Xenopus tropicalis: one gene and its partners. The protein of the gene in region 1 binds, or shares a complex with, the protein of each later gene. Links are inferred from orthologs where the notes say so. Each region holds a gene or a part of one and is shown in the gene's direction. Other genes may lie near its edges. The genes, in order: smad7, yap1 and smurf1.

Region 1 (10,657 bases):
AGTATTTAGCCTGGGGTACAGTATTTAGCCTGGGATACAGTATTTAGCCTGGGATACAGTACTTAGCCTGGGATACAGTATTTAGCCTGGGATACAGTATTTAGCCTGGGATACAGTACTTAGCCTGGGGTACAGTATTTAGCCTGGGATACAGTATTTAGCCTGGGATACAGTACTTAGCCTGGGATACAGTATTTAGCCTGGGATACAGTATTTAGCCTGGGATACAGTACTTAGCCTGGGATACAGTATTTAGCCTGGGATACAGTATTTAGCCTGGGGTACAGTATTTAGCCTGGGATACAGTATTTAGCCTGGGATACAGTACTTAGCCTGGGGTACAGTATTTAGCCTGGGATACAGTATTTAGCCTGGGGTACAGTATTTAGCCTGGGATACAGTATTTAGCCTGGGGTACAGTACTTAGCCTGGGATACAGTATTTAGCCTGGGATACAGTATTTAGCCTGGGATACAGTATTTAGCCTGGGATACAGTACTTAGCCTGGGATACAGTATTTAGCCTGGGATACAGTATTTAGCCTGGGATACAGTACTTAGCCTGGGGTACAGTATTTAGCCTGGGATACAGTATTTAGCCTGGGATACAGTATTTAGCCTGGGATACAGTACTTAGCCTGGGATACAGTATTTAGCCTGGGATACAGTATTTAGCCTGGGATACAGTACCCACCCAGAACAGGATACAGAGCTCACAGTGACTGGACTACAGTACTTGCCCAAACTGGCACGAAGTACCCACACAGACACGGATATAATAGGTAGAGAGCACTCAGACTGGGAGAGAGCGCACATAACCAGTGGGACAGGCTGAGTTAAGTACTCATACAGGCAGTGCCTAATGACCCAGGGGCAGATAGAGTGACAGGTAGTGGGGCAAAGTGACAGGTAGGGGGCAGACGGAGTGACAGGTAGGGGGCAGACAGAGGGACAGGTAGGGGGCAGACAGAGGGACAGGTAGGAGGCAGACAGAGGGACAGGTAGGAGGCAGACAGAGTGACAGGTAGGAGGCAGACAGAGGGACAGGTAGGAGGCAGACAGAGGGACAGGTAGGAGGGGGACAGGTAGGAGGCAGACAGAGGGACAGGTAGGAGGGGGACAGGTAGGAGGCAGACAGAGTGACAGGTAGGAGGCAGACAGAGGGACAGGTAGGAGGCAGACAGAGTGACAGGTAGGAGGGGGACAGGTAGGAGGCAGACAGAGGGACAGGTAGGAGGCAGACAGAGGGACAGGTAGAAGGCAGACGGAGTGACAGGTAGGGGGCAGACAGAGTGACAGGTAGGAGGGGGACAGGTAGGAGGCAGACAGAGTGACAGGTAGGAGGCAGACAGAGTGACAGGTAGGAGGCAGACAGAGTGACAGGTAGGAGGGGGACAGGAAGGAGGCAGACAGAGGGACAGGTAGGAGGCAGACAGAGGGACAGGTAGAAGGCAGACGGAGTGACAGGTAGGGGGCAGACAGAGGGACAGGTAGGAGGCAGACAGAGGGACAGGTAGAAGGCAGACGGAGTGACAGGTAGGGGGCAGACAGAGTGACAGGTAGGAGGGGGACAGGTAGGAGGCAGACAGAGTGACAGGTAGGAGGCAGACAGAAGTGACAGGTAGGAGGCAGACAGAGTGACAGGTAGGAGGGGACAGGAAGGAGGCAGACAGAGGGACAGGTAGGAGGCAGACAGAGGACAGGTAGAAGGCAGACGGAGTGACAGGTAGGGGGCAGACAGAGGGACAGGTAGGGGGCAGACAAAGGGACAGGTAGGAGGCAGACAGAGTGACAGGTAGGAGGGGGACAGGTAGGAGGCAGACAGAGGGACAGGTAGGAGGCAGACAGAGTGACAGGTAGGAGGGGGACAGGTAGGAGGCAGACAGAGGGACAGGTAGGAGGCAGACAGAGTGACAGGTAGGAGGGGGACAGGTAGGAGGCAGACAGAGGGACAGGTAGGGGGCAGACAGAGGGACAGGTAGGAGGTAGACAGAGGGACAGGTAGGGGGGCAGACAGAGGGACAGGTAGGAGGCAGACAGAGGGACAGGTAGGAGGCAGACAGAGGGACAGGTAGGGGGCAGACAGAGGGACAGGTAGGAGGCAGACAAAGTGACAGGTAGGAGGGGGACAGGTAGGAGGCAGACAGAGGGACAGGTAGGGGGCAGACAGAGGGACAGGTAGGAGGCAGACAGAGTGACAGGTAGGAGGGGGACAGGTAGGACGCAGCCAGAGGGACAGGTAGGAGGCAGACAGAGTGACAGGTAGGAGGGGGACAGGTAGGAGGCAGACAGAGGGACAGGTAGGGGGCAGACAGAGTGACAGGTAGGAGGGGGACAGGTAGGAGGCAGACAGAGGGACAGGTAGGAGGCAGACAGAGGGACAGGTAGGAGGCAGACAGAGGGACAGGTAGGAGGCAGAGAGAGTGACAGGTAGGAGGCAGACAGGGGGACAGGTAGGAGGCAGACAGAGGGACAGGTAGGAGGCAGACAGAGGGACAGGTAGGAGGCAGACAGAGGGACAGGTAGGAGGCAGACAGAGGGACAGGTAGGAGGCAGACAGAGGGACAGGTAGGAGGCAGACAGAGGGACAGGTAGGAGGCAGACAGAGGGACAGGTAGGAGGCAGACAGAGTGACAGGTAGGAGGCAGACAGAGGGACAGGTAGGAGGCAGACAGAGTGACAGGTAGGAGGCAGACAGAGGGACAGGTATGAGGCAGACAGAGGGACAGGTAGGAGGCAGACAGAGGGACAGGTAGGAGGCAGACAGAGGGACAGGTAGGAGGCAGACAGAGGGACAGGTAGGAGGCAGACAGAGGGACAGGTAGGAGGCAGACAGTAATTAGAGACAAGCTTGCGGACGTTGCAACATGTACACTTTGTACCCAAACGTCACGAGCCAAAAGTGAGATTTAAGTAGCGGCTCGAGGGGGACTTGTCCAGCCCTAACAACCTGCACTGAAACCTCTCAGCCCGACTTCCCCTCCAACATCACAAGCCGGCCATTTAACCCCATTCATGCACAGTCAAGCTGAGCTGATAACTAAGGCCGATACCCTCTCCCCGGAGAGCTCACTCCATGCATCTACTACCTCTATGTTAGAAACAACATGAAACCCGAGTATGTATAATGTATTCTCCTTATACCTGCCAGGCCCTGCAAGCAGTTTATTCATTAGTAATCAATCTGCTCCCCACAGCTTGAACTACAGCTCCCAGCAACCCCTAACAGCCTTAGCCTACATCCTCTCCCACAGCTCAGCAGCAGCAATGCCATAAAGGTGTATCAGCCTGCCACTGGGAGTAATTATTATACCCAGGTACTTACATCTAAAGAGGTAGTTCACCTTTGAGTTAACTTTTAGTATGAGATAGAGAGTAATATTCTGAGATAATTTGCAGTTTGTCATTATTTTTTGTAGTTCTGTAATTATTTCACTTTTTGTTCAGCAGCTCTCCAGATTGGAATTTCAGCAGCTATCTGGTTGCTAGGGTCCAAATTACCTTAGCAACCAGCAGGATTGGACTGGGCCGACGGGACACCAGGAAAAAACCTGGTGGGCCGCAGGGAGGCAGCCGGCGGGAGTCCCTACTGGGGGTGTGGGGGCCCCTGGTGACCAGGCATTGGTTTCAATGAGAGACTGATATTTCTAAACAGAAAGAAAAGTAATTAAAAGTAACAATACCAATAAAATTGTAGCCTCACAGAGCCATAGTTTTTGTTGCGGGGGTCGGTGACCCCTGTTTGAAAGCTGGAAAGAGGCAGGAGAAGGGGAATAATTTAAAAATGATAAAAATAAATAATGAAGACCAATTGAAAAGTTGCTTAGAATTGGCCATACTGAAAAGCTAACCTCCCCTTTAATGTTACACTGATGGCTTTATGCCCCACTAAATGCATAGTGCACACTCTCACTCAGACTCACACTCTCACTCAGACTCACACTCACACTCAGACTCACACTCTCACTCACACTCTCACTCAGACTCACACATATGACTGACTGTGACATAAAAGAGGAGCTTTCAGTAACCCGAAGCCTTTGCGCAACACAATCCTTGGGGTTTTTTTTTTTTGTTAAAGCGACAGGCTGTCTAGACACCCACGTGATGGGCCGCGCCATTGCGCACAGGAGACTGACAGAGCCGAGAGAGCCGGGGAGAGAGAGAGACAGGCACAGACAGGGGAGGGGGAAGTGAGAGACAGTCAGGGAGAGAGGAGGGGCACTGACAGCAATGAGCAGGGTGAAGTCCCTTGGTAACTGGGTGCTGTGAGTGTGAGCTTTGTGGACACAGCACCCCCCCAGTAGAGTGTAGGTGCCCCAGTGAACCCCCATAGCCGGCCCTCGTTAGCGGAGGGATACCAGTCCTCTCCCCGCTGCCCCTCGCCGTGTCTCCGCTGTGCGGCCGGTCCCTCCTCCTCTCCCCCCCCCCTCTCCCCATCGCACATTTCCATAACACAGACGGGGGCGGATCAGCCCTTTGAGAAGGAGGAAAAGACAAGTCCCACTTTATTTTTTTCCCCTCTCTCCTACTGAGCGGCCGGATAAAGGATTTTTCTTGTGGATTAAACAAGCGAGAGGCGCAACCCAGGGCTTCTACTTCTTTACTGGAACCGCATCGCGTACGGATTATCTATAAGGTTCTGCCGCCCTAGTGCCCCTACTCTCTGCCCATTTGCCCCCCATACACAAGGGATATTATCGGCAGACCCGCTCGTTTGTGGATGTACGAGTTGTGGGGGGAGCCCGCTTTCCTACCGGGAGGATTGTGTATAAATGCCCTTTAGATCCCAGGCCAAGCCGGGCAGCGCTCTGTGCTCCATTCAATGCCCCGCTGCTCCCGGCTCGGCTGCCCAGCATTAGCCCGCTGTATGTGTAGCCGGGGCGGCTGCTTGCCGTTTGCAGTATTCCTGTCGCTGCGACTCGGATCCCCCCGCCGCACTTTGCAGGATCTCTTCCCCTAAAAGACTGGCGCATGTTCCAGATCGCTTTGGCTTGTCGGACCCCCAGCTCCCCCCTACCCTCCCGGGCTGCTGCTGCTGGTCTCTGCCCGGCCTCGGATCCAGGATTCTTCATGATTTGCGGGCGTCATGCACGTTGTTTAGCCGGGAAGCCTTGCTCTCGTCCCGCATGTTCAGGACCAAACGATCGGTGCTCGTCCGGCGACTCTGGAGGAGCCGAGCTCCCGGGGAGAGCGGGGAAGGGGAAGGCGGGGAGAGGGTTCATGGAGCCGGGGGTTGCTGCCTGGGCAAATCGGCGAATAAGGTGCCCGGGAAGGCGCTGGGGGGCTCGGAGGCTGCAGAACTGAAAGCCCTCGCCCACTCCGTGCTGAAGAAGCTGAAGGAGAAGCAGCTGGAGGGGCTGCTGCAGGCGGTGGAGTGTAAAGGGGGAGCCCGCAGCCCCTGCCTGTTGCTGCCGGCGGCCAAGCTGGACTCCAGGCTGGGGCAGCAGCCCTTCTCCCTGCCGCTGCTGCTCTGCAAGGTCTTCAGGTGGCCGGACCTCAGGCACTCGTCCGAGGTCAAACGACTTAGTTGCTGCGATTCCTATGGCAAGAACAACCCGGAGCTGGTCTGCTGCAACCCGCACCATCTCAGCAGGCTGTGCGAACTAGGTAGGTGCCCCCTGTACCCAGACTGGCACTCACACACAGGGCAGGGTGGGTTTGCTCTGACTGCCATCCAGACTGGCACATACACATGGCACGGTGGGTTTGCTCTGACTGCCATCCTGTCCTGCAGGGACTTTGACACCCAGACTGGCACACACACACATGGCAGGGTGGGTTTGCTCTGACTGCCACCCTGTCCTGCAGGGACTTTGACACCCAGACTGGCACACACACATGGCAGGGTGGATTTGCTCTGACTGCCACCCTGTCCTGCAGGGACATTGGCACCCACTGGGCACAGCTGGTGTGTGTAGTTGGCATCAGAGGGTCAGTCTGGCATTAGTATTTCAATGCAGCCACAGGCTTGGGGGTTCAATATTGTGATGGGTAATGGGGATACTGATTTACTGCCATTTGGCACAGTTATAATGGGGTATATGACTGGGCATATTTATCTCAGGGCACAACTATTCTTTTTCCATATTTATCCTTGGGTATAGCGGGAATGGCAAAGGGGGCATGGCTCTGGGTTTCATGGGTACAGCACATTGGATACATTGGTCGCTGTGGCTAATAGCAGGGCAGAGTAACTTGCCCCTTGGTATAACTGACAGTGTGGCTTGGGGATAGTGGGCACGGTGGGTGCTGTGGGGGTACAGTCTGCTGTGTAAGCTGGGAGGTGTCATTGTCACTATGTCATTCCGTTGTACTGTGTGAAAGGAATGGGGGGGGTCACACGGATTGTGGGGGTGCCTTGTGTCACTTTGCCAGGAAACCTTCATATACAAGATACACCCCATTATCATCCAGTCTCCAGTCCTATAGCAGGTCTGCTGGGCTAATATCAGTGGCAATAAAGGGGGGGGGGGGCTTATGTATTTCTGGGGGGGGGGTCTCGGCTCATGTCATTATTAGGTATTATTCCCTATGACAGTAGTGACAGTGCCAGGGGGCTGAGTAGTTACTACTGACATCTCATTCATCCCCCCATCAATGGATCGGGGCTGTCCCTCCCTTTATTGCACTTATACCCTAGTAATATATTGTTTTTCCCTTCATTTACCTTTTAAGCTTATTTCTGTTCTGCTTAATGTGTTTATTAATCATGCCCTCCCCCCTGTTTCCTATTTACCAGCCTACTTTTATTATTACACCCCTATTAAAGTTGGGGTGTAAAGCGTAAACCCCCTCTTTTTGCTTCAATGCCCCTTTCTCCGGCGGCAGTTTCAGCGCACTTTTATATACGGCTGTGCGTATAATGCGCGAATAGCGAAAAAGTCTTTTCCCCAACGTACAGTGAAGTACAGTAAGGAGATAAAATTGCAGTTGCATGGCTACTTTGTAATCCTTAGAAAAATAGGGCAGCAAGGGGAAGGGGGAGGGGGTGTAAAAAGGAAAAAAAAAAAGAGAGTCCCTTTCCCTTTATCTTTTTGCCTTTCTGTGAAATGCTAACTGCTCGGCGGAGCTACAGGGGGATTATGGGGGCAGGAGTGGCTGAGCCCCCGGTCAGACAGTCGCAGGAGCTGATAGCAGGGAGGGCTGGCGCCAGGCGGCAGCTATTGTTTATCTCACTGCTAAATATCAAGGCGATCGCCGCCTCTCTGCCCTGCCTCTCACCCCCGGGGCTTACACAAACACTTTGCCTAGAAGAATGCCAGTGTTATCACAAGTTTCTATCTTGCCTTTTTTTTTTCTTCCTTCTCCCTTTCCTCATGGACCTCTCTTTATTTTCTCTCTTTTTCTTCCCTTTGCAGAATCTCCCCCACCTCCCTACACCAGATACCCCATGGACTTTCTCAAACCGACTGGTAAGTAACTTTTATTTCATACTTGTGCATCCGGGGCCTTTGGGAAGGGAGGCAGGGGGTTGCTTTACGGAGGGCCCTGATTTATGTCATCTTGACAGCTTCATTTTTTTTTTTTTTTTTTTGGTTCCCCCCTGGGGAGTTGAGTTCTGTGACTCCTGGAGTCCTACAGTTCTGTGATGTTTTAATGCAGGTTTATGGCTATTTTTGGTGTGCAATAATTTTGAATGATATTGGGGGCATTTTGTGTGACTTTGGTGATTTCTCGGTTGTGGGACCTCATGACATTTGATCATTTATTGCATACAGTTGTATTAGGATTGGGGTGCAGTTTTGGGCTCTCTGTTTTACATTTTTGTGAATTTTTACTAAATGACCCATGTATGTATATTTTTATTTATAAAGTGCTACTTTATAGATAAATACAAAGTATACAAATAAATACAAGATACAGTTGCAATAACTTAAGAGTCAAAGACACAAAAGGTTGGAGGTTCTCTGAAAACTATTGGGGCATTTTGTGTGACTTTGGGGATTTCTTAGTTGTGGGACCTCATGACATTATATCATTTATTGCATACAGTTGTATTTGGATTGGGGTGCAGTTTTGTGACTCTCTGTTTCACATTTTTATGATTTTTTTCTAAATGCCCCATGTAAAGGGTAACTTTCTGCTGCAGTTTTGTATCTGTGTGGCTCATTTTGTGTGAGTTTTTGTAACACTGTTTTCCCTATAACTTGGAAGCTTGATAAATCTCTTTTGGAATAGTTCTATTTTTGTGTATCAACGTATAAAGAGGATTTTTTTTCCCATTTTTTAATAGTTTTCAGAGAATTGTAGCATTATATAAACAGGGGAGCAGGTAATATAAATGAAAAAAATAAAAAGTATAAATACATACATTGTAGGGTATTACTACTCAGTTGGAATGAGGTCCTAGCCCAAAGAGCTTACAATCAATGATAGATAGATATTAGTAACTCTCAGGTTATTGCTTATATACAGAACAGCACCTTTAGGTTTTAGCAGTTACACAATGCAATTATCGGTGCAATGGTGCATTGTTGGGATGTCACCTTTTTTGCGCTCCAGCTGCACTCTCATTGGTTAATTTGCTCACATGCCCATTTGGAATATGGCTGCCTGTTGGCATGCGTTTTAGAATCTATAGTGGGACCCCATTGGTGGGGGGGGGCAGTAGGGCAGTAAGTGGAAAAAATGGGGTTAAAAGAAGACCTGGAGCGCCTGTTGCTGAATGGGCTGCCTGCCAGCTCCAAAGCCCATTTATAGTTGGCACCGGCGCTGTCGAGCCGCTCAGAGAGGGACAAATAAAACTTGCGCCTGGCATCTGGCTCACCTTGTTAGACAAATAAGATTGTGGCTTGCCGATAGACATATATTTATTTATATCCGCAATATGTCTAATGTCAGGGAGCGGCCACAAAGCCAGCCCATATCACAGAGCGGAGATGAATGGCGCCCCCTCTGCATATTGATCCGTGCAAGCTCTTTTATTTGTGATTATGCCCTAATGTCACACCGGCAGTAAACCAGGCTCGTCCATCATTTCCCCGGCAATAAAGCCTTGATTTACACCTTTCTGACAAGGCGTCACATTTCTCCCATAGGAGACCGACACAGCCTTTGCTATAGAATGGAATGCCTGTTGGCTAGCTGGGGGCTAGAATGGAGGTTCCCAAACTCTGGGTGCTCCCCCTGCCCAAGGCAGAAGGCTAGCTGGGCTTGGAATGTGGCCGAAGGATGCAGTTCTTGCCAGTGAAAGCAGCATTTGTTTATTATTTATCTCTGTTCTTCCAGGCCTTGTAATCAGCTGCTTATGCAACATTGTCTCAGGAGTCGGAACAGTTGGTGCTTTCAATACAAATGAATTTTAAACCTTTAAAAAATGTGTAGTTAGTGTTACAGTTTTGTTTTTTCATTGTGGCAACATTTTATTTCTGGGTTCACTTCCCCTTTAGAGGTCTTTTTTTTTTCCCATTCCCACCGCTCCCCACGAAATAAGTTTGCACCTCCAACTTTAACGAGGCTCACCTTTCTGCATGGAGGCCACAAACAGCAAAGGAAGCCGTAAGCGCGTCAGTTTCGCTGTCCTCCCATGTCCCGGGGAGCTGAGTGATGGCATTGGCTTCATTAGCAAGTGATGACATGGAAGCAGCGAGATGTGTAATAAAGAGGCCTCCGTGGCGCTGGGTGTCCTGCCGCACCAAAGCAAAGTACCCCAGGTTGCCCTGACAGGAAGTAAGTCCGGCACGCCAGGGGAAAGTTCATGCATTTATTGCGAGGAAGATGCAGTTGATCTGTCGGTTGGGCGCAGCCGATTGATGTCGCATTGGGGCAAAGCGAAGCTGTCTGTCTGTCGTCCATCAGTAATGTTTGCCTTCTGCTGAGTCGTGTTAGGAAGTGAGGGGAAATATTACTTCCCCTTGTCGCCAGTGTATGTGCACCATTGCGTTACTCTGTGTGTGTGTGTGTGTCAGACACTTTATTTGCACAGAATATTTATTCTCCGTCTATTTGCTCTGGCACAGAGTGGAAGCTGCCACAGTATTTGAGCCTCATCCAGGGGCAAGCAGTATGGCAGCGCCTACTCATATACCCACATACCAAATCCGTATGGCAACTCCCACCAATGAGTACAAACATTCATTATGGCAGCTCCCAGCACTATGTATAGATTATAATATGCAGGGATGCTCTTTGCCTGTGTTTCCATTAAAATACACAACATCACTTTTTTTACATAAAGGCCAACTAATCCACCAGTGTTGCCGTTGTGTACCACGGCAAGCTGTGTGTGTGCTGAATTGACTCTTGGCTGCTCTGTAGCCTGCTGCTGGGTTCTGACTTGAAACTGAAAACACAGCTGCACCGCTAACCTTTTCCTCGAAAGCCATACCCGTCGCAGCTCAGATGCCCCCCCATGGAATGGATTGGGTTAAAAGCCTGCGTTGCAGCAGGGAGTTTGGGCAGGAAGATGCGTGTATTCCGTCTATTTATCTGACGTTACTAGGTGAGAAGCAGCAACATCGCCTTGTAATGGAACAATGCTGAAATCATAACCAGTTTAACAAGAAGAGGGAGCGCAGCCTCTCTGTCTGGGCCCTTAATAATCATCATAATCATAATAATCATAATGGCTGCAAAAGGAGAAAAAAAAAGCGTAACTAATTAAGAAAACTCCAAGGCGGTGCTTTCAGAGCAGAGGATGCTGGGAGTTGTGGTAG
Region 2 (10,062 bases), on another chromosome or scaffold:
TCGTCGATCCCCCATACACACTCTGAATATCATACGAAACAAGTATTTGTACGATAATATTGGGACGTGTATGGCCAGCTTTAGCGTTTGATGGCAATGTACCAGGCCCTTCCACTTGCGCTATGAAAGCCAATAACACAAGTGAACTAATGGATTGTAATTAAAGGTTGGATTTGTTTGTCCTGCAGGCCTGTTTGCTATGAGAAGTTTTTAGCCTGTGTGCTGTGAGCCATGATTGGCCCTTGGTCTTCTGTTTATCTCCACTTGGGTCATAAAAGCATTCTCCATAGGTGATCTGCCATGCAAATGTGTGCCCTAGAGCCCTATTAGAGCTTGAATGGCAGCCCCCCAGCTTCATGGTAGCTGTTCTAGAGCAGTGATCCCCCAATCAGTGGTTCGTGAGCAGCATGTTGGGTGTTGCTCTCAGTGCCCCCAAACCAGGGAGTTATTTTTGAATTCCTGACTTGGGGGCAGGATTTGGTTGAATAAAAACAAGATTTACTACCAAATAAAGCCCCTGTAAGTTCATAGTGTGCATAGAGGCCCCTAATAGCCAATCACAGCCCTTATTTGGCTCCTCCATGAACTTTTATGGTGCTTGTGTTGCTCTCCAAGTCTTTTTACTTTTGAATGTGGCTCTCTAGTTAGAAAGGTCGGGGACCCCTGACATAGAAACTGTATTACAGCCTCTACTCTATATTTGCCAGTGCAAAGTAACAATATATTATGTATAAATGCCTATACAACCCTTTATTTTTTTCCTCTTACTTTAGATACAACTCTGATGTCCCTTTAGAGCCAGCAATTGGATAAGTCACTTTGGCCCAGAATACGGGGAGCCGAATTGTGCCGAGATTTAAATTCTTTGCCTAAAGTTCAGCAGCATATATATATACTACAGAAGCATCTGTTACCCCATCAGATCTTGGCCGTGTAGCAACCAAAGCAATAATAAACATATTAATAAGGAACTTCCCATGAGGCAGCACTCAGAGGGCCAGTAACACCAAGGCATGAAAATTCCCTGTATGCAAGTGATGTATGCTTAGCTGATCACACAAAGGCACATGTTGTGGCTACATCTGGATTGTTTTGGCCAGGCTTGTTTGACACATGCTTGTGTGTGGGCTGAGGATCATGTTGGCCCATCTAGGTGGCCACTGGCTATATAGGCTGCCTACCCATGCATGCAATGATTGCAGTCCGCTTATTGGTCAGAATAGCTTTGCCCATGTGTGCCCCATGTGTGCTTAATGTTCACATGTTGCAGGTTAAGGCCCTGTTTTGTCTGCATCATGTACGGAGAATGTGTTCAGTTTAGCTGGGTCATCATATGTAATCAGCCGATAGAAATAACTGACCAAATGAATATATTTCATATTTTTATTCAGCTCAAGCTCTTATTAATCAGTGTTTTCTTAGTGCAGAATGGAGGGAGCGACTCCAGGCCTTCCAGCTCGGAAAGAATTGTTCCTTAGTGAGAGAAAACTGTAATGTCATGTTTGGGCAGGCACCCAAGGCGGCTTATTTATTGTATCTGACGGTAGCATTGTATGATGCGGACATATGAATATATAGGCTGAAGGGAAAACGGGTGCTCTGCCCAACGCTGGTACGAGGTGCTTCTCGTGTATCAGGGCTGCCCAATTTGATTTAATTTACCCCACAAACACGTCACATCTATGCGTACATCCCAAAATAAGTGTACCTGATCGGTTTGTTCAGCACAACTGGATTACAGTTTGAAATGTAGACTTGTACCCCAAGGGGTTCATTCATGTTTCCTTCTCTCCAGTCTCTAAAGTGGGCAGAAAACAAAGAGAACCCAGAGAATGAACACTTGTTTGTTTGTTGTGCTTCTAGGCACGTATGCATCTGTAGCCTTGGGAGAAATCTTCCATGTTATCAAATGTTAAAGTTTCTTTATTTCATACTCCTTTAGCTTGACGCAAAATGTGGTGCAGCGCATAATGCAACGCAATAGCAGAGCGCGTACAAGGCATATGGAGCATGATTGTGTCGTACGTGTCATTATGTGTGCAATCACACGTGCAATGCATGTATTAACAGGTGCCCCAGTGCGACACAGCCCAGTTGGGGACCCCTGCTCCGGTTTATCCAGGCCGGCTGTAGTGAGGCACAAACTGGCACAGCTTCCAAATGAAGTGCAGAATTGTAATATTATGCAGGGGAAATAGAAATTGTGTTTTCTCTCCCACTCTGTATTTAGCATTCCCTTTGTGCATGCAGTATTTCCAGACAGTTTTTAGAACCTGTGTGTAAGTAACTCGGACAGGTTAGGGTTGAAATTTGGAGGATTTGGGTTGGGCACAGGTCAGACTGGGAAAGTGCACTCTTCCTCTGTTTCCCTGTCATGGAACTTAAGGGGCGCACAGAGCGGAAAGATGCGGGGATGGATTGAGTGCAGGTCCTACAATGGCTTAGTGATGGTTTTAGTTCTTCCTGGCCCCCATATCACTAATGCAGTAGGTTTGGGGTGGGTGCAGCAGGGTCGCAGCAGTGTCATGGCTCATTGGCTTCAGGAGACCAGTACTGTTGTCAGTGGCTAATATGGGGTTGCTATGGGCTACTAGATCCATAGTAGCTTTGCCCCTGTTAATACATTAACCTCTCTGTTCTGCAATCATACTTCCAAGTAACATTGGTGGGGTGCGTATCAATTAGAATCATTAGCTTGTATTGTATGGAGCAATCTAGTATTTATGGCTAGAGAAGTGACATGGTTATACTCGCATGTAACTGTTTTGATGGGTCCGTTCCCCCTGTTGTTATACCCCTTCCCATACTTAGTTTTCTTTTCCCTTTAATGGAAGCGTGCAACATGAGCAAGTAATGGGACAGACACCATGCTGCCCTGTAAGGGAGTGTGATGGGAACATCTGCTAATAAATAAACTGAATGCATTGAGTCATGGCTGCTGAGAATACAGGGCTGTAGCTCTGAGGCCCCCGAGCAGCACCCGCTGGCACCCTCCCAAGCATCACTGACTCACGGAGCCTTTCCCCAAATCCAGCGTCACCCAAAGCTGCAGCCATTGATCTAAATATAAACCTTATGTCCCAAGTGCTGCCGGTTGATATTTTGGGATATTGAGACTAAAATATACATTGTCTACTGTGTCGCATAGAGGCCAATGAGAGATGCGCTGTTACCCAAAATAACTGACAGTGAGACATTTTAGGATTATAGAGCAGGCACAGCGGGGCGGGGGGAATCGTACACAGGCCGGGGCTAGATAGGAGCTGTGCAGCCCTGTTACTGGGTTCCCATGAACCTCTGCATTTAATGGGGGTGTGAAAACTGGGCACCCACACTAGGGTTTTATATCAGTGTATGCATGCCTGTGCCAACCCCATTCCAGTGTTTTTTAACCTCATTTTAAAGGGCATGTAAACTATAAAATAACATTTTGCCTAATGAAAGAAAAGGTAAGTATCATTACAGCAATATTCTTCCAGTATATATACTGTACATCCATATATCTATTCTTCCAGTATATATACCTCCAGTATAATCTTCAAGGGGTTATATAATAAAAGCACTAAATTTGCCCAGGAGCAGTAGCCCATAGCAGCCAATTAGCAGGTATCATTTACTGGTCACCTGTTTTAAAGCTAACATCTTATTGGTTGCTATAAGTTACTGCACCTTGGCAAACGTAGTGCTTTTTCTTACATATGAGGCCAATGTTACTATTGATATTAAAAGTATAATTTATCTGTCCCTGGTTATTCTCTGCACTGCTCGTTCTGACTTTTGAGACACATTAGCAGAAGCCAGTGCATTTCAGGCGATAGTTGACTGACCGAGTATCAGTGCCGTTAATTTTAGGCAATTGTCACCTGTTAGCTGGTACAAAAGCACGGGAATACAGGGTTATGGGATATAGATTTTAATACAAGTTGATCCAGGGACTGGTCCAATTGCCATTTTGACATCAGGGAGGCATTTTTTCTCAGGTTTAGATCTCTGCTGATAATTAAAATGTCAGTGTTGGCTTTACTCATATTGTCCCACTTGTTCTTTGCAGGCCAGCACAGATGGGGGATCAGCTGGAGCTCTAACTCCTCAGCATGTCCGCGCTCATTCCTCCCCGGCCTCCTTGCAGCTAGGGGCAGTGTCCCCTGGTGCCCTTTCTCCGCCGGGGGTGGTTCCCGGCCCCGCACCAGCACCCAACGCTCAGCACCTGCGCCAGTCTTCTTATGAAATTCCAGACGATGTTCCTCTACCGCCAGGATGGGAAATGGCAAAGACGCCCTCCGGGCAACGATACTTTCTGAAGTAGGTTTTTTGTTTTCTTGACTGTGTCCGTTAGGGCTCACCTTAGCCTATATACAAATACCTTCATGCTATTACATGATTTGCTTCCATTTAATTGCCTATAAACCTTATATTTTCTTGTGTGATATTGGCATCTCTGGTATAGTTTGAAGCAGACACAGCAAACCGCTTAGAGCTGCATTTCCCACCAGTTTAGGTGCCATCAGCCGCCGCTGCTGTGGGCATTATCATAGCCAAGGCTGTTCAGCAAGGGGGCAGTTGTGCCCCAATAATCCGATAATCTACTGGCTTCTGCAACATTCTTTTAGGATTCAGAACCAGCGGTGCAGAGAATATAGACAGTCAGACATGTACTGATTTCTAGAGCAATTACATTTACAAATAACTTAATGCATTTTTTTCAATGTTGAATGTTGCATTTTTTAGGCACAAAATTTTTTTTGTTTCAAAATCTCATAAATACTACAAAAATAACTCTGTTCAGCAGAGCAGGTTGGTGTGCTGCTACTGATCCCTTGTGTGAAAAAGGAAAGGCATTCTTTTGTTCCTCTACTTCAGCTATTATATTATTGGTATAAACAATCCTAGTAAGCAGGGCCCCGTGTCCCAGGCTGGTTACAGTCACCACTACAGAGGCCATTGATTCCCTGCCCTGGGGCAATACAGAAAAGTTATCTTTCTACATCACTACTCTGGTTTTCAGACTTGTTGGGTAATATAGTCTATCATAAAGCTACAACCTCTTTATCAGCACTAGGTCATAATTACTATTGTTTTACATGACGTGAGCAAATTTGAGTTAAAAGTATTTCACTCCAATTATTTAAGGGTTCTATCGAAGTTTCTGTATTACATAGGTCCCTAGGGATGTACACTGCAATACATTATTCCCACGGAAGGACCAGGCTATAATTGTTATTGTATGGATAGTTGCACTGCTACATTTCCAGGAGGTATTAGTGACGAGCCCTGCACCAAGGCATTTTGGGGTATGATTGCCTGTAGCCGTGCTATCTATTGCAGGGCTGATTTATGAACTTAGTTGCTGCATTGTGCAAATGCTAAGCCAGTCATGTCTTGGCTTTCGTTTTCCAGCTTTTAATAGACAAACTAATTTCTGATTGGCTGCTACTGGCAGGGGCACTTGTGCATTTTATCCCCTGTGTTTGTAAATCAGCCTAGTAGTGTTTTACCTCTATGGAGCTTGTTAAGGTCCCCATACACGAGCCGATTGTAGCTGCTGATACCGATGGGGACCTTTAGACTGATGGCACCTGTAATGTTTTATTTGCTGCTGGTATCTAGCAGAGAGTAGTGATGGGCAAATGTCCTTGTCTAAGGACATTAGGCTAAGATATGCACAGTGGGCAAGGTTGCCAAGGTAGTGAGTCTTTTCCTAAATTAGATGCAAACACACTGCCAGATCAGGACGCAGTGGGCCAGCAATCTGATCATAATGGGGATCAGCGTACGGCCCTCACCTAATGGCATTTATTAGCCTGCACAATAGGTTATGTGATTGATTTTTAGCCAGATATTGGGCAGGCAAGCAGGAGGGCCCAATAAGCTACCAACTCTGTCTAGAGGGACCAAGTTGGCTTTTATCAGGCGATGATAGCCTTAACTAAGTGCCCTTCCTGGCCTGGGAACACAAGCCCTACCTGAGTGTATTATGGCCGTAAATATTCCCCCGCAAGTCATAGTAAATATGAGAGGTAAGTGCCTTGCAGAGTGCATGTATCTTTCTCCTTGCAGCCCTGCTCTCTATGTTAAGGGCTCGAGTTTCAGAGGAAACAATAAGGGGCCCGAGACTGTAAAGTACACACACGTCTGGCAGTCTCATCTGCATGAGCGAGAGCGGTTGTTCTCTTGCAGCCATCCCGAGTCCTTAATTGAAAGAGCTTCTCCCTGGGAAGCATCGGCCTGATTGGTTGGGGAAGGTATGTTTAACCCTGTCCCTTCGTTTGGAAAGTGCTTTTCTTAATGGTGTAAAATTCCCCACCTCGTAAATGAAATAGATATAGGATCTGTTATCCGGAAACAGTTAACCAGAATTACGGAAAGGCCGTGTCCCTGTAGACTCTATTATGTGCAAATAATTCAAATTTTTAAAAGGGATTTCCTTTTTCTCTGTACAGGTATGGAACCGGTTATCTAGAATGCTCCGGAACTGGGGTTTTCCGGATCAGGATTCTTTCTGTAATCTGGATTGCTATGTTTTAATTTTTCTTAAGACGTTTTAACATGAAATAAACCCAATAGGGCTGTTCTGCCCCCAATAAGGGTTAATTATATCTTAGTTGGGATCAAGTACAGGTACTGTTTTATTATTACAGAGAAAAGGGAATCATTTAACCATTAAATAAACCCAATAGGGCTGTTCTGCCTCCAATAAGGGGTAATTATATCTTAGTTGGGATCAAGTACAGGTACTGTTTTATTATTACAGAGAAAAGGGAATCATTTAACCATTAAATAAACCCAATAGGGCTGTTCTGCCCCCAATAAGGGGTAATTATATCTTAGTTGGGATCAAGTACAGGTACTGTTTTATTATTGCAGAGAAAAGGGAATCATTTAACCATGAAATAAACCCAATAGGACTGTTCTGCCCCAATAAGGGGTAATTATATCTTAGTTGGGATCAAGTACAGGTACTGTTTTATTATTACAGAGGAAAGGGAATCATTTAACCATGAAATAAACCCAATAGGACTGTTCTGCCCCCAATAAGGGGTAATTATATCTTAGTTGGGATCAAGTACAAGGTACTGTTTTATTATTACAGAGAAAATGGAAATAATGTAAAAAAAAATTTGAATTACTTGATTGAGTCTGTGACAGGTGGTCTTCCTGTAATTTGGAGCTTTCTGGATAACAGATCCTATATCTGTAATAGTAAAACTGTAGCTTGTGCTTGATCCTTACTAAGCTGCATAAATCCATATTGGTGGCAAAATAATACTGTTGGGTTTATTTAATGTTTAAATGATTTTTAGCAGACTTAAGGCCTGGTGATCCAAATTACAGGAAGATTCCTTATCCACAAAACCCCAGGTTCCGAGCATTCTGGATAATAGATCCTATACCTGTACAGCAAAAGCTGTAACCTTAATAAAGCTTGAACTTTTTATTTATACAGGTATATCAAGAAATAAGGGATGAAAGGAGTAGTTCATCTTTAACTATGATATGTATGATAGTATGATATTGGCTGTATAGGGATATTCTGATATTTGGGATCCTGCTGAAATTCCAGGCATTGGATTTAAATAGCAGTAAAACTGACAGTAACAATAAAATTGAAGCCTTAGGGCAGAGCCACACAAAGAGATTTCCCAAGGGCGACAAACCTCCCGAAAATGCCTTTCCCGTTACTAACCTGTGGATCACTGCACTCTGCCATTATTCCTGGAAAATGCCTTTGTCTTTGTTTTTAACTTAATTATGCTGCATTGCCATATGTAAAGTGTTTTATAAGCGCCAATCCACCGGTTAATAACGGGAAAGGCATTTTCAGGAGAAATATATCCCATAGGTAAGGCAGTATTCCCACAGGCAACAAAGCTACCCACTTGCCATAGCCCTTACAGCAAAGGGACCTACACGCAGATCCATGTTCTGCCATCTTTCTATCTGTATGTGAAGGAACCTACACGCAGATCCATTTTCTGCCATCTTTCTGTCTGTATGTGAAGGAACCTACACCCAGATCCATGTTCTGCCATCTTTCTATCTGTATGTGAAGGAACCTACACCCAGATCATGTTCTGCCATCTTTGTTTTATAGGTGAAGCAACTTAACACCTAGAAAAATGTTTTTCTTTATTGTGGTCTCTCTATGTAGGGAAGGCTACAACCAGAAGCATAATTTGCTATCTTTCGCTCTCTGTATGTGGTGGAGCCTACAGCAAGAGCCTTGTCCCTCCATCTTTCTTTGTATCTCTCTAAGTGGAAGCCACATTTTCCATGTGGAGGAGCCTACAAGGAAGCAGCATGTAACCTGGTCAAGGTGCCACTAACACAACCTGGGTTTTTGGTTTTTAGAAGAGCAGTAAGCAATTGAATTAAATGTAATCTTGGCAATTAGTTTCCTGCACATACCTGTATATAACAGAACACTTATTTACACAGTATTCAGATGGGAAGTCACATATCATGCAAATATGATGAAACACTTGCTTGGGTTTACAGAGTATCGGCTTTCATACTAAGTATCTCTCGTAAAAAAAGGGTTTGTTGATTTACTAATTGGCCAATATAATTTCCAACTGCATTGCAGTTTATCGGAATGACAGACTCATGTTTTTGTGACGTGGGTTGTCTTGTAATTTTTTAGCTAACTGATTTGAATGTATTTAATATTGCATACCTCATCTTATACAGGGTTAAACAACTTTCTTGTTGATCCGTCTTGGCAGTGATCTAAGAAACAGCTGACCCCCTACATCCATTTTATTCTGCTCTTTTGTTTTCAATAGGAAGGAGAACAGCCCTCTTCGGGGCCATTTGTTCTCAAGCCAAATAGTAAACAGAAAAGCGGGAGTGTACTCATCAAAGGGAGGCTTAAGCCACCGGGAAGGTTAGGGAGGTGAGCTTTCATCTGGTTTGATGATGTAGTGTTGATGGAGAACCAACCTCTTGTCCTTCTAAAATCCACACTAATGAGGCCATTTGGAACAATCTGTTTTTCTCTAAAGGAAGTTGAGCCCTGTTCATATTAGCAGAAGGTTCTTAAGACGTTTGAGTAGAACGTTTTTGTTTCTGCTTTGATGGGGCAAAAGCTGGCCTAATGAATTAGCAAAGGTGTAGTACAGACCCGCCACTTCTAGGGTTTTTCCAGCACTAAATCTTGGGCTTGGGAAGGATGGGCCTTGGTAGTCTCCGTTCAGGCCAGTGATCCCCAACAAGTGACTTGTGAGCAACATGTTGCTCCCCAACCCCTTGGATGTTGCTCCCAATGCCCCCAAACAAGGTAGTTATTCTTGAATTCCTGACTTGGGGGCAAGTTTTGGTTGAATTAAAAAAAGATTTACTACCAAATAAAGCCCCTGTAAGCTGATAGTGTGCATAGAGGCCCCTAATAGCCAGTAACAGCCCTTATTTGGCTCCTCCATGAACTTTTATGATGTGGTGGAGAGGGCACTGGGACAGTAGAGTACATGCAGAACTCTTTACTGGAGAAACACAGCCCAAACCCAGTTAAAAGCAGCTACTAGAGGCCATGGTACTAAAACACCAACCACTGAAAAGAGTTTGCAATAAATACTGTGGCGCTAAATGCTGCATTACTCTTTGCATTATAAAAAGGGCCAAAACTGCTTCCAGGGCGAAGGGCTGGGCCATGGATCTGCCATACGGGACAGGTATTAAGAGTCTGTCTGTGGAGTCCCTGTACAGGGACAATCCAAATTAGCTTTGAATTTATGTACAGTTCTGCTGGCTGTTGGGGGAGGCTTGGAATTTGCAGTTTAGCAGCTGGGAGGGCTTATATGTATCCAGTGCTTCCTCCCCTAAGGGCTTACATTTAACTTTTTGGTTTGCGTCTATGTGGAATCTTTTCTGGGAGGGCATTGGCCACACAGCATGGTGCGCAAAGAACTTTATAATAAATGCCACTTCTGCCCCTTATTTTGCACTCTTCTTCCTCCCATTCCAAGGAAGCATTGTATCCCAGTTGATTTCCAAATACATAGTCTGTATTATTTGCAGACTTAAAGAAAGGAAAGTTACGTGGGGGTCAATTCTGCCCAGTAGAGA
Region 3 (10,062 bases), on another chromosome or scaffold:
GTGCCCCTGGGAAACTAAGATGCCTAGCCCTGATGATATTTCAGAATGCATTTTGGAAAAAAAAAGATATGTTGGTTCAGGTATCATCGGCATAAAAACCAAATATGTTGGTCTTGACAGACCCTTGAAAAACTCTAACAGAGAGAGGTATAAAGTGGGTGGTAGAGCTAGATAAAGCAACTTTTTGTTCTCAGCTGGCATTAATGACACAGATCTTTAATAGGTCAAATCTTATTTTTCTGATTGCTCCATTAGAGTACAAAATGTCTTTGAGGAATAAAGTTCTTTAGTTAATTATGGTGCTTTGGAGTCAATATAGAGCCTGAGGGAACCATTTATTATGCTGCGTTAAAGATAAAGAATAGCAACCAAAGAGCATCTGGTTATTAAGAATAGCTGTGTTTAAAAAAAAAAAAATGCTTAATTATAAAGTTGTGTATTCATTTTTGATGTAAAAGTTTTCTGTATAGAAACCAGAGGCTGCTTGAAAATGCTAAACATAAAAAGTGTGTGTGTGTTTTTTTTTTTATTCATTGCCACTTCTCTTCTACCTGTTTTTAAAACTTCTGCCAGAAATTGCTGCATAGACATTTTCCCATTAACTTAAGCCAGTTGTATAGGTTGTATCAAAGCTTTGCCCAAACAGTTAACTGTTGCAAAAATGCCAGTGGTATGCTGCAAGACATTACCAAGAATCGTGTGCTCTGATCATTCCTACTTTAGTTCAGAATTGCCCTGCCCTCTTGACGTGTTATTTGAGCTTGCATAGCACTCCACAACAAATTCTTACACGTGAGCCAATTAGAATGACTTTTCCACTTAGCAATAATATCCCAGACACATCAGAAATCACAGGGGGTAATTTCTCAACACTGGGCAATTTTGCCCATGGGCAGTAACCTATGGCAACCAATCAAATTGTTGAATTCATTGTTCTACCTGCAGCTGGCTCAAAAAAGCCAATCACTGATTGGTTGCTATGGGTTACTGACCATTGGCATATTTGCACATTGTTGATAAATGAGCCCTACTGTGTCATCACTGATAAAAGAAACATGCCTTGTTCTACATTTTGAATCATTAAGCATTGGTGGACACTGTTCAGGTGCCGGCTGTACACTGCCATCTTACATCAATTTCTAAATGTGCTTTAGATTTACTGTGCTGTACATTTACAGCTGACTCCTGTGTACTTCAGAGAGGTTATTTTGTAAAATGTACCATTATATAGCAAAGTATTCCTCTGTATTCTAAAGCGCTTTGAAATATAATATGAATGAACATAAAAGAACAGTAACTGAGTCATAGCGATCGTCTGTAGAGGGTTGTCTGTTCTAGAAGATTTCCATTTACTTAATCATCTGTGCTGCTATGCCAGGTCTGCCATTTTGGATTTGTGTACAGGGATTATATGAAACCAAGTAGCCCCTATTGTAAAATATAAAGGCTATTAGAAGTCACTGAAGAGTTTATAAAGCCACAAGGCTGAAGGCCTTTTTTCCCCAAAGTAGCTTGTGGTGGCTTTAGAGGTATGTTTAGGGTTGCTGTCCTTTTGTAAGAGCCATCCCTTTTTCGTCTTCAGTTTCTTGACTGTTTCACATTGGCTTCCATAATGTGCTTTTACAAGTACATTATTTCTTGTGCCGCTTGTTGCCACACAATCCCAGCGCATAATGGATCCACCTTCATGTTTAACAGTTGGCAACATACTTTTTTTTATCGAATTATTTTTTTTTCCTAAACAAACCTTTGTCGTGAAATTCTTACTTCATTAGTTCACAGCACTTGTTTCCAAAAGGCCTCTTGCTTGTCTAGACAATATTTTGCATAAATCAGACTTTGATGTTTATGACAAGGTTGCTGGTAAGGCTTACAGATGATTCTTCAATGCCGGTCATACTTGTGCAAGCAACAATGCTTCATGGAATGGTTCAACACCACTCTGTTTCAGCCAAACCTACTTAAAAACCTGTTATCCCAAAAGTTCAGAATTATAGAAAGGCCATAGTCTCCATTATAAGCAAATAATTTTTAAATCATGATTTGCCTTTTTCCTTTGTAATAATAAAGCAGAAGTTTGTACTTGATCCAAACTAAGATCTAATTATTATTTTTATTGGAGGCAACTACCACCACCCCCCCCCCCCCCCGTGCCAGACATTTTGTAAACATTCTGTGCTCTCTCATTTTGGGGGCATTTACTAGAGGGGGTTTAGTTTATGTAGGAAAATTATATATCGTTTTTTTCAGGAGAACCTGAGAAAAGAAAAAAAAGAAAATCGCCTTAAAGCTTCCACTTTCAAGAATCCTATCTCCCACATAACATTATGTATCAAGAAAAAACATCCTAAATATGAAAGCCAGGGGTCCACAGAACAGATTGGTGCCATTGTGCATAAGGTTACCAAACTATCTTGAATTTAGACCCCAAAAAGGAAGTTAGAACAAAGGAATTGCCCCAGAGATCTTTTTAGCTACTGAAAATTAAACACATTACAACTGATACAACTGATAAGTAACATCAATTAATTCACTAACTTGTGCAACTATATTGGCCACTAAAGACTGTGCAGCACGGATACTTATAAGAGACATTGGTCTATATATAAATCTTGCTTGAATATATAAAGGGAATTAACTCTGCAATTAAGAACTTTTTCCTCTCACCAACCCCCACCAGATTAATTGAAGTGGAACCTGCATAGAGAACACAATACATCTCTCTTTAAGAGGAATATTCAATTTTTTCTTGCTATTTAAGGTTTTTTGAAATAGGGGTTTTTTTTTGTGTTTTTAAACAATCTAATACAGTGCATTTATGATCTTAAATGGATGTAACTATATGTGGTTGTGAATAAGGTAGGCTGGCCAGCCAAGTTTTTAATTTGATTTTAATGTGATGATATATCAATACTAAATAAATTCTAAAATTTCCACACTGAGTGGAATCTTTAGCAAGAGGTACTCAAATGTTAGCATCCTACTGTATGTGTGTATTACTAGTTCTTTTAGCTGTACTATCTCTACAAACAGAATATTTGATATTCAGGTAGAACTTTAATTTGTTTTTACTTTACATGTTTTAGAGACCTTAACAGTGTGAATTGTGATGACCTTGGCCCTTTGCCCACTGGATGGGAAGTCAGAACCACTGTGTCTGGAAGAATATACTTTGTAGACCACAATAATCGAACAACGCAGTTCACAGACCCAAGACTACATCACATCATAAAGTAAGAATGAGATAAAGATTTGGGATAAAGCACTAATCTAAAAAAAAAAAATTAAAAAGAATTTAGTTATAAATGCTATTTTTATTACATTGTACCAGCCCAGCTGTTCAGCAATCCTGTATTAATAATCATGCATATGCAGTAGTGCCAGTTTTCTGATTCTGTTCTTGTTTTGAGTGCCAGCCTGCATTGGGCTTCTGTAAGGAGTTAGAGATACTGACACGTTCCACGTGTCAGTATTTGTTAGCACTGCACTGTTGATTTAGTAAAATAACGCTCCTAAGCTGCCCGCAGCCCATTTGCACTTACTTTTGTACTTCAGCCTGTAGAACAATAATGCCACGTACAGCCCAGCATGTCTGCAAGAAGCTCCTTTTTCGCCAAATGGCTGGTGCACTTCCACATGTACTAAATGCGGCTGGCCTAGGGGAAACCTAAGGTGCTGCATTAGGAGTAATAATGACATATTGTTTACTATTACAGGAATGTGTCAATATCTCTTCACTCAATGAAATCTTCAGCACATTAGCGGAAAGTATGACATTTGTCATAGAAGCTGTTGCTACAGGACTGATTAATTCTGCGGCAGTATTTACTAGCTTCTGTGCTGCCATGTAATAGTAGTAAATCTGAGTTTATTACTTTTCACCCTTGTGTGGTGACCTGCACAGTAGAGTTTAATAGGCTATATAAATAAAGACAACTTGTACCTGGGTGCAGTCTGATTGAAGTAGGTACACACATAATGAAAAACAATGGTACACACTCTCAGGGCTTACAGTGAAAATAAGATGATTCTTTGTTGCTCTTTGTTGCCAAGAGTTGAATTTTGTGTCCCTCCAATTGCCAGGGTATACTAGGAAGTAGTAAGCTGAATTTGAATAGCATTGTACTGTATTTTTCATTGCTTATAATGTAACTATTAAGATTTTATCATATTAAAACTTTTGTATCTCTTGCAGTCATCAGTCCCAGCTAAAAGAGCCAAATAATGCTATACCAGTGCAGAGTGATGGATCTTTAGAAGAGGGGGATGAATTTCCTACTCAAAGATATGAGAGAGACTTGGTACAGAAACTTAAAGTCCTGAGACATGAGTTATCATTGCTGCAGCCTCAGGCAGGGCACTGCCGTGTTGAAGTGTCAAGGGAAGAAATTTTTGAGGTAAGGTAGCCATGCAAAGCTAAAATAGAGAGGATTCAAAAGATATATATATCAGTTTGGTTACAGATTTGTAGCAGATTTTTAAAAGGGTAGCTCAAATTAAAATGTAATTTTAGAATGTATTATGTATTGTAAAACCGTTTATCATATCTTTATAAATGTTTCAGAACTCATCCCCCCAAAGAAAGCTTTCATCACAATAAAAAGTTGGGGGTTTTATAGTTATTTTGTTAAACTGGATAGAATTAAACAGCAATGTGGAAAGAGCCTTGACATGCTAGCAAGAAAAAAAAACAGATATTAACTTGCAGTAATGTAGCTGATTTTCTATGTTTTAAGCAATGAAATATTTTATCATAGAAAATGTAGTGACCTTATGATTAGAACATCAACGATTGATTTATTTTTTATTGAACGCCCCTAAAAACCTTCAAGGTTTGACAATTTTTTCAAGAACAAAATATTATTTCAACAAAATATTTTAACAGGTTATTTGTATTTATCTTTCTATTCCTTCTTACTTTTAGTTTAGATTTTTTTTACTTACTGGTGTTTAAAACTGGCATCATTTTTTTGTGACAGAGCCAAAATGTGTTATGAAACTTTTTGTCTGCATAGTTTCTATCAAGGCTGTAGTTTTATAATCCGATAATCTGCCCATATGCAGGAGTCCTATAGGCAGATAATGAAGATGAGACCGAAAGACCTTAAGAAAAGATTGATGGTGAAATTTCGTGGGGAAGAAGGACTTGACTATGGTGGAGTGGCCAGGTATTGTCCTACTTATCATGTACTGATGGTGGGCCTAAAATATTTACTGTGTATGACTTATACAGTGATGTTTATTATACACTATCCCAAATTATGGGCTGCATTTTTACTTTGTGCTATGTTAGACAAGAAATACCTCTTAATACCTTTTACCCTTTTGTAAATATCACAACCAAACATTCCCCCCCATCTGGACAGTTGTCTCATATTCTTAGTATTTTAATGCTGGTCTTTACATAGTAATATAGTAAGTTAGGTTGAAAAAAGACGTACGTCCATCACGTTCAACCATAATGCCTATATATAACCTGCCTAACTGCTAGTTGACCCAGAGGAAGGCAAAAAACCCCATCTGATGCCTCTCTAGCAACAAATATGTAACAATACAAATATAACAAAATATACAAATATATAATTTTTTTTTTTTTTTTTTAACGCATCAGTTAATAGAGCTTCTCCAGCTGAATCCTGCATTGAAATCCATTTTTCAAAAACGCAAACAGATTTTTTTTTTTTTGTATTTAATATTGTAACACTGGCTCCTTCTGAAAGTTCAGACTCAGGTACAATGCACTGAGATGGCGGCCTACACACCAGTTTTACAAATGTAAGAAATACTTTTAAATATATTTTTTAGATAACTCTTGTGGAAAAGTGCACTGGGTTCCACAGTCTTGGTTTCATCTGTACTTTTTAATTACTTGCCCCCATGTAATTAATAAAAGGCACACATTTGCCGAGTTGCAGTAAACCATAGAAACCAATAAAATATTTTAATTTAAACATGTACTCAGGAAATAGTACCTGTCCTTTGGTAGCTAAGGGCATTGGCACATGGGGAGATTTGCGGGCTAAGTTAAACCCCCCACATAAAGATGTAATCAGTGAACAGCCTCTTTGTAATTTTTAAATACCTACCACTCTGGTTGTTGAAAGCTTAATAGTAAGGCTGAAGCATCCACTTATATGTGCTCCTGTAATAGCATCAAACTTTAAAAAAACAAAAAGAAGGAAACCTGAAAGCAGAACTTGGCTGCAATTAAAGGAACAGTAACACATAAATATTTAAATACCGTATAAGTCACAAAACAGCTCTAATATTAGGTCTAGCCTTTCCCCCCTTGCCTTTTTTAAATGCTTCGTGTAGAATTTTAGTGACGAACTGCTCCATAGCAGCACGGCGAAAAGGCGACGGGTGCTTGAATTCCTGTGTACACTGACCCGAAAGTTGTCTTCGTGTCGGAGGACCTTCGGCACTTAAGCTCTTTATCAGCTTATGTATGATTGGATGATTTAGCAATATTGTTGTACATTAACAACTTAAAATGACTGCAAGAAAGATTGTTATACCACTTCACTAACTATGGAATTAAAGTCTAAATTGAATTGAATTCCTTTAGAAAATTTGTTGTTTTTTAGATTATTATAGCAGAAGTGGGGAACATAAAAGGCAAAAGCTGTGCAAGGTACTAGTGGCAAAGAGATCCCTTGTCTTTCACAGTTTAGGGTGAGATCTGTTTGAAAAGAGGACTTAATCCTAAATATATCCTCTCTACATTTTGAATGTTATATTTTTTTAAATACTAATCTTGTAGTATTTATTTACAGGCCATGATCCACCATAGGAAACTGTCCCTATTAATTTCTTGCCTGTATCTGTCATATTCAGTGATGTTTTGCTGACATTAAGGGTCAGCAGACAAGGAGATTAAAATGGTTATGATAAAATGCTGTTATGTGCAAGGGAGTATATTATATGCTCTTGCATAGCAGTTTAGAAGAGCCCTGTAATACTATATCCTTCACTTACCTTATTATATATCCATTAGTTATAAATAGAAAAAAAAATAGCTACTGGCTTCATATGTATCATGAAGTTAACATTCAGGACCAACCTTATTAGAATTAAGTCGATTATCATTATGTAAAGTTATGTTTTATAATTCACAAAACCAGTTAAAAAAAAATTTCAGAACATTTGGCTTTTTGGTGTTTGGCATTTGGTGTTTGTATGCTTTAGTAAAAAGTTTAAATTTCATAAAGTTCATAAAGTTTCATAAAAAAAAGAAAAAGCTATTGCTATGTATTTTGTGTTTTCAGAGAACAGCTCAGATTGTCTGTTCATTCTTGATGTGATTCTTTTAAACAGGGAGTGGCTGTATTTACTATGCCATGAAATGCTGAATCCATATTATGGACTTTTCCAATATTCTACAGACAATATTTATACTCTGCAAATTAATCCTGATTCATCTATTAATCCAGTAAGTGTTAAACCTGACATTGTGGTCAGCTGACAGGTAGTGGCAAATTGGGACACTTTGCTGCGGTGAGCTACAAACAAATTAACTTAGAAATTTACTTTTTTTTTGTGGGAAACTAGCCATAATTGACTTGTTTTTCAAAAACAACAAAATCTTTTATGCAGAAGATGCTGCTACTAATTATTAATGTATAGTATGATGCTCATTGGATCTTTTAGTGGCCACAGCAAAATGGCTGAAAAAAATTATAAGCAGTTTGACAGTAAAAATTTTAACATATTAATTCTATCTGGCGAGTACTAAAGCATTGATGCAATAAAGAAGCTGTGCAAACTACCATATTTTTTTAAGAATAGCTGCAGTTGAATATCTGGTTGAAAATTGGTCAGGTGTCAATTTGACAAGTTTGATTTTTTTTTTTTTTTTTTTTTTTAAATTGGATAAGGGACTGCATCGGCAACTAGGAAATTAGTACTTGCCATCCATAGGTTAACCTACACAATATTAAAATAACTGCAGATCATAATTTTGCAGAACAACATAAGTGTTCAGTTGAGCAGCTAACATCATGGGCCATTTGTATGGACACCTGACAATTGGAGGTGCTCGCTAAAATGTTACGCTTCAAATCTCCGAAGCTCACAAAATGCTTTAGTTGGCAAGCTTTGTTCTTTTGGACAGCAGGGCTCAAGGTAATGGACACAATGTGTGTTTAAGGTAGATTCTTCCCATTTTCTTACCTGCCTTTACCTAGTATTAATTGCCAGAGAGGACTGAGATACATCTAATAATTCTGCTGATTTAGTTTAATCTAAAATCAAAACTCAGATACAAAGTCAATTTACTCTGTTTCCACTCTGCTCTACAGGATCATTTATCTTATTTCCATTTTGTTGGTCGAATCATGGGATTGGCTGTGTTTCATGGACACTACATTAATGGGGGGTTTACAGTTCCTTTCTACAAACAACTTTTGGGAAAGCCCATTCAGCTGTCTGACTTGGAATCTGTGGATCCAGAGCTGCATAAAAGCTTGGTTTGGATTTTGTAAGTATTTTTGTTAAGATATTTTGGTCTCTAAGGATCTTATGTTCCCTTTAAGCCAGAGCTCCCCCAACCTATTTTAGTTGCATTGTAAGCCACATTCAAGTTTAAAAAGTGTTTGAGAGCTACTTAGTCATAAAAAAAATATTGTGCAGGCTGCAAAATAAAGACTGGGTTGGCTTTTTCATAGAACTATATAGACTACCTGCCTGTAGCAGCCCATGTTTACCAGAACATTTTTTTGGCTTCCAAGACTTGGCCAGCATTTGTTAAATGAGCACCTTTGAAGTTACTGCATGCAGCATTTAAAGGGGTGTCAAGAAATGTGGTTTACAGGCCAGTAGCTAGGTATCACTGCTCTAACCTGTGTGCTTATATACAAACACAACAAGTTATGATACTTGCACATACAGAGCTTAGTAGAGGAACAACAGACAACTCTATATGCAGTAATATTCTGGCAGATATCCTACGGCCAATAGTACATTACATGATTTTGGGAGTTTTATCCGGGTGCTCTTACAGTAGGTAAAGTTAGACCTTTTCTAAAGTTACACATTGGCAGTAAAATTGGTAAATTTAAATAACATTTTTTTTTTTTTATTATTTTGGCAGTGATTTTGCTGTTTAGGGTCAAAGGACATGTACGTGTTGTCACTTATGTGAAATTTCCTCTCCTGCTGGCCAACAAAAAATCCAAAATTTACCTTTTCATTCAGAGGTTTATTCCCCCCATGTAAAACACTTTACATGCAGTGATCCGGCCTTATTGTGGGAAAATCCATATTTTGACCTTTAACGTAGAACAGTTGCACTCGCTAAACAAGCATAATGATCTTCCCTACCCTGCTCTGTGTGTGAGATAGGTAAGTGAGGTGGGAGGAGGCAGCATCAGCCTTGGTAGCAGAACACTAGAAAGCACTATACTTTGTGCAAAATCCCACCAACACTGGTGTCTTTCCTGTATGTGTCCCAGTGTGACATTACTTAGCAATTTATTTAGTAGATCAGGGTTTTGTTTTTTTTTGCATAGTAGGGGCAACTGACTGGTTTGAAATTCTGCAGATGGATGCCAGGTTCTTACAGAGACTTCAGATTGCCTAAACACACTGCGTAAGCTTAAATGTGATTTGTGTAATTGGTCTGCATCTCAGTTGTTGTTGTTGTAAAATGTCAATATATACACGGTAACACCATAACTTTTTTTTGAATTTTATAGCTGTAGTGGAAGGTATGCTATGTGCGATGTAAATATAATCGTGCCCTGTGGTACCGAGGGCCAGAATTTCTCTGGCAAACATGGTGGAGGGCCAAAAACGGAAGTCAGTTTTAGCCACTGCCCTTTTTATACTACATCCATATTAACACAAACATTTTGAAGACAAATGGTTGGTGTTTACTGCAGGGATATCGCCTAACACTCATATGTGAAAAAAAGTTAATTAAGTCATATTAAGACATACCCTTAAATTCATATGCTGCCTCCTCCCCTGTGGACAGCACAGCAACCCCAGCACCTAATTAAACACCTTAGGGACCCCTAACCACTATTTCCAAAAGCTAATAAACTCCTTAAACAAACCCCT

The links.
Region 2: the proteins of smad7 (region 1) and yap1 are in contact, whole or in part, in an NMR structure (PDB 2LTV), measured with the Homo sapiens proteins. The link is inferred for Xenopus tropicalis from reciprocal best matches to the Homo sapiens genes SMAD7 and YAP1. Residues at the interface, in NP_005895.1 of Homo sapiens: Ser206, Pro207, Pro208, Pro209, Pro210, Tyr211, Tyr214, Pro215, Met216, Asp217; in NP_001123617.1 of Homo sapiens: Thr241, Gln242, Asp243, Tyr247, Ile249, Asn250, His251, Lys254, Thr255, Thr256, Ser257, Trp258.
Region 3: the proteins of smad7 (region 1) and smurf1 are in contact, whole or in part, in an NMR structure (PDB 2LTX), measured with the Homo sapiens proteins. The link is inferred for Xenopus tropicalis from reciprocal best matches to the Homo sapiens genes SMAD7 and SMURF1. Residues at the interface, in NP_005895.1 of Homo sapiens: Glu203, Glu205, Ser206, Pro207, Pro208, Pro209, Pro210, Tyr211, Ser212, Arg213, Tyr214, Pro215, Asp217; in NP_065162.1 of Homo sapiens: Glu313, Arg315, Ser316, Thr317, Arg321, Tyr323, Val325, Asp326, His327, Arg330, Thr331, Thr332, Phe334, Thr335.

The regions. Positions count from the first base shown.
Region 1 is NC_030677.2:205,590,283-205,600,939, reverse strand, and holds the start of smad7 (mothers against decapentaplegic homolog 7), read left to right. Parts: upstream 1-4,065; 5' UTR 4,066-5,128; coding exon 5,129-5,609; intron 5,610-7,360; coding exon 7,361-7,414; intron 7,415-10,657. UniProt on the Homo sapiens protein: Antagonist of signaling by TGF-beta (transforming growth factor) type 1 receptor superfamily members; has been shown to inhibit TGF-beta (Transforming growth factor) and activin signaling by associating with their receptors thus preventing SMAD2 access.
Region 2 is NC_030678.2:162,284,108-162,294,169, reverse strand, and holds part of yap1 (transcriptional coactivator YAP1), read left to right. Parts: intron 1-4,051; coding exon 4,052-4,302; intron 4,303-10,062. UniProt on the Homo sapiens protein: Transcriptional regulator with dual roles as a coactivator and corepressor. Critical downstream regulatory target in the Hippo signaling pathway, crucial for organ size control and tumor suppression by restricting proliferation and promoting apoptosis.
Region 3 is NC_030685.2:47,059,521-47,069,582, reverse strand, and holds part of smurf1 (E3 ubiquitin-protein ligase SMURF1), read left to right. Parts: intron 1-3,086; coding exon 3,087-3,233; intron 3,234-4,195; coding exon 4,196-4,397; intron 4,398-5,064; coding exon 5,065-5,168; intron 5,169-7,317; coding exon 7,318-7,432; intron 7,433-8,300; coding exon 8,301-8,479; intron 8,480-10,062. UniProt on the Homo sapiens protein: E3 ubiquitin-protein ligase that acts as a negative regulator of BMP signaling pathway. Mediates ubiquitination and degradation of SMAD1 and SMAD5, 2 receptor-regulated SMADs specific for the BMP pathway.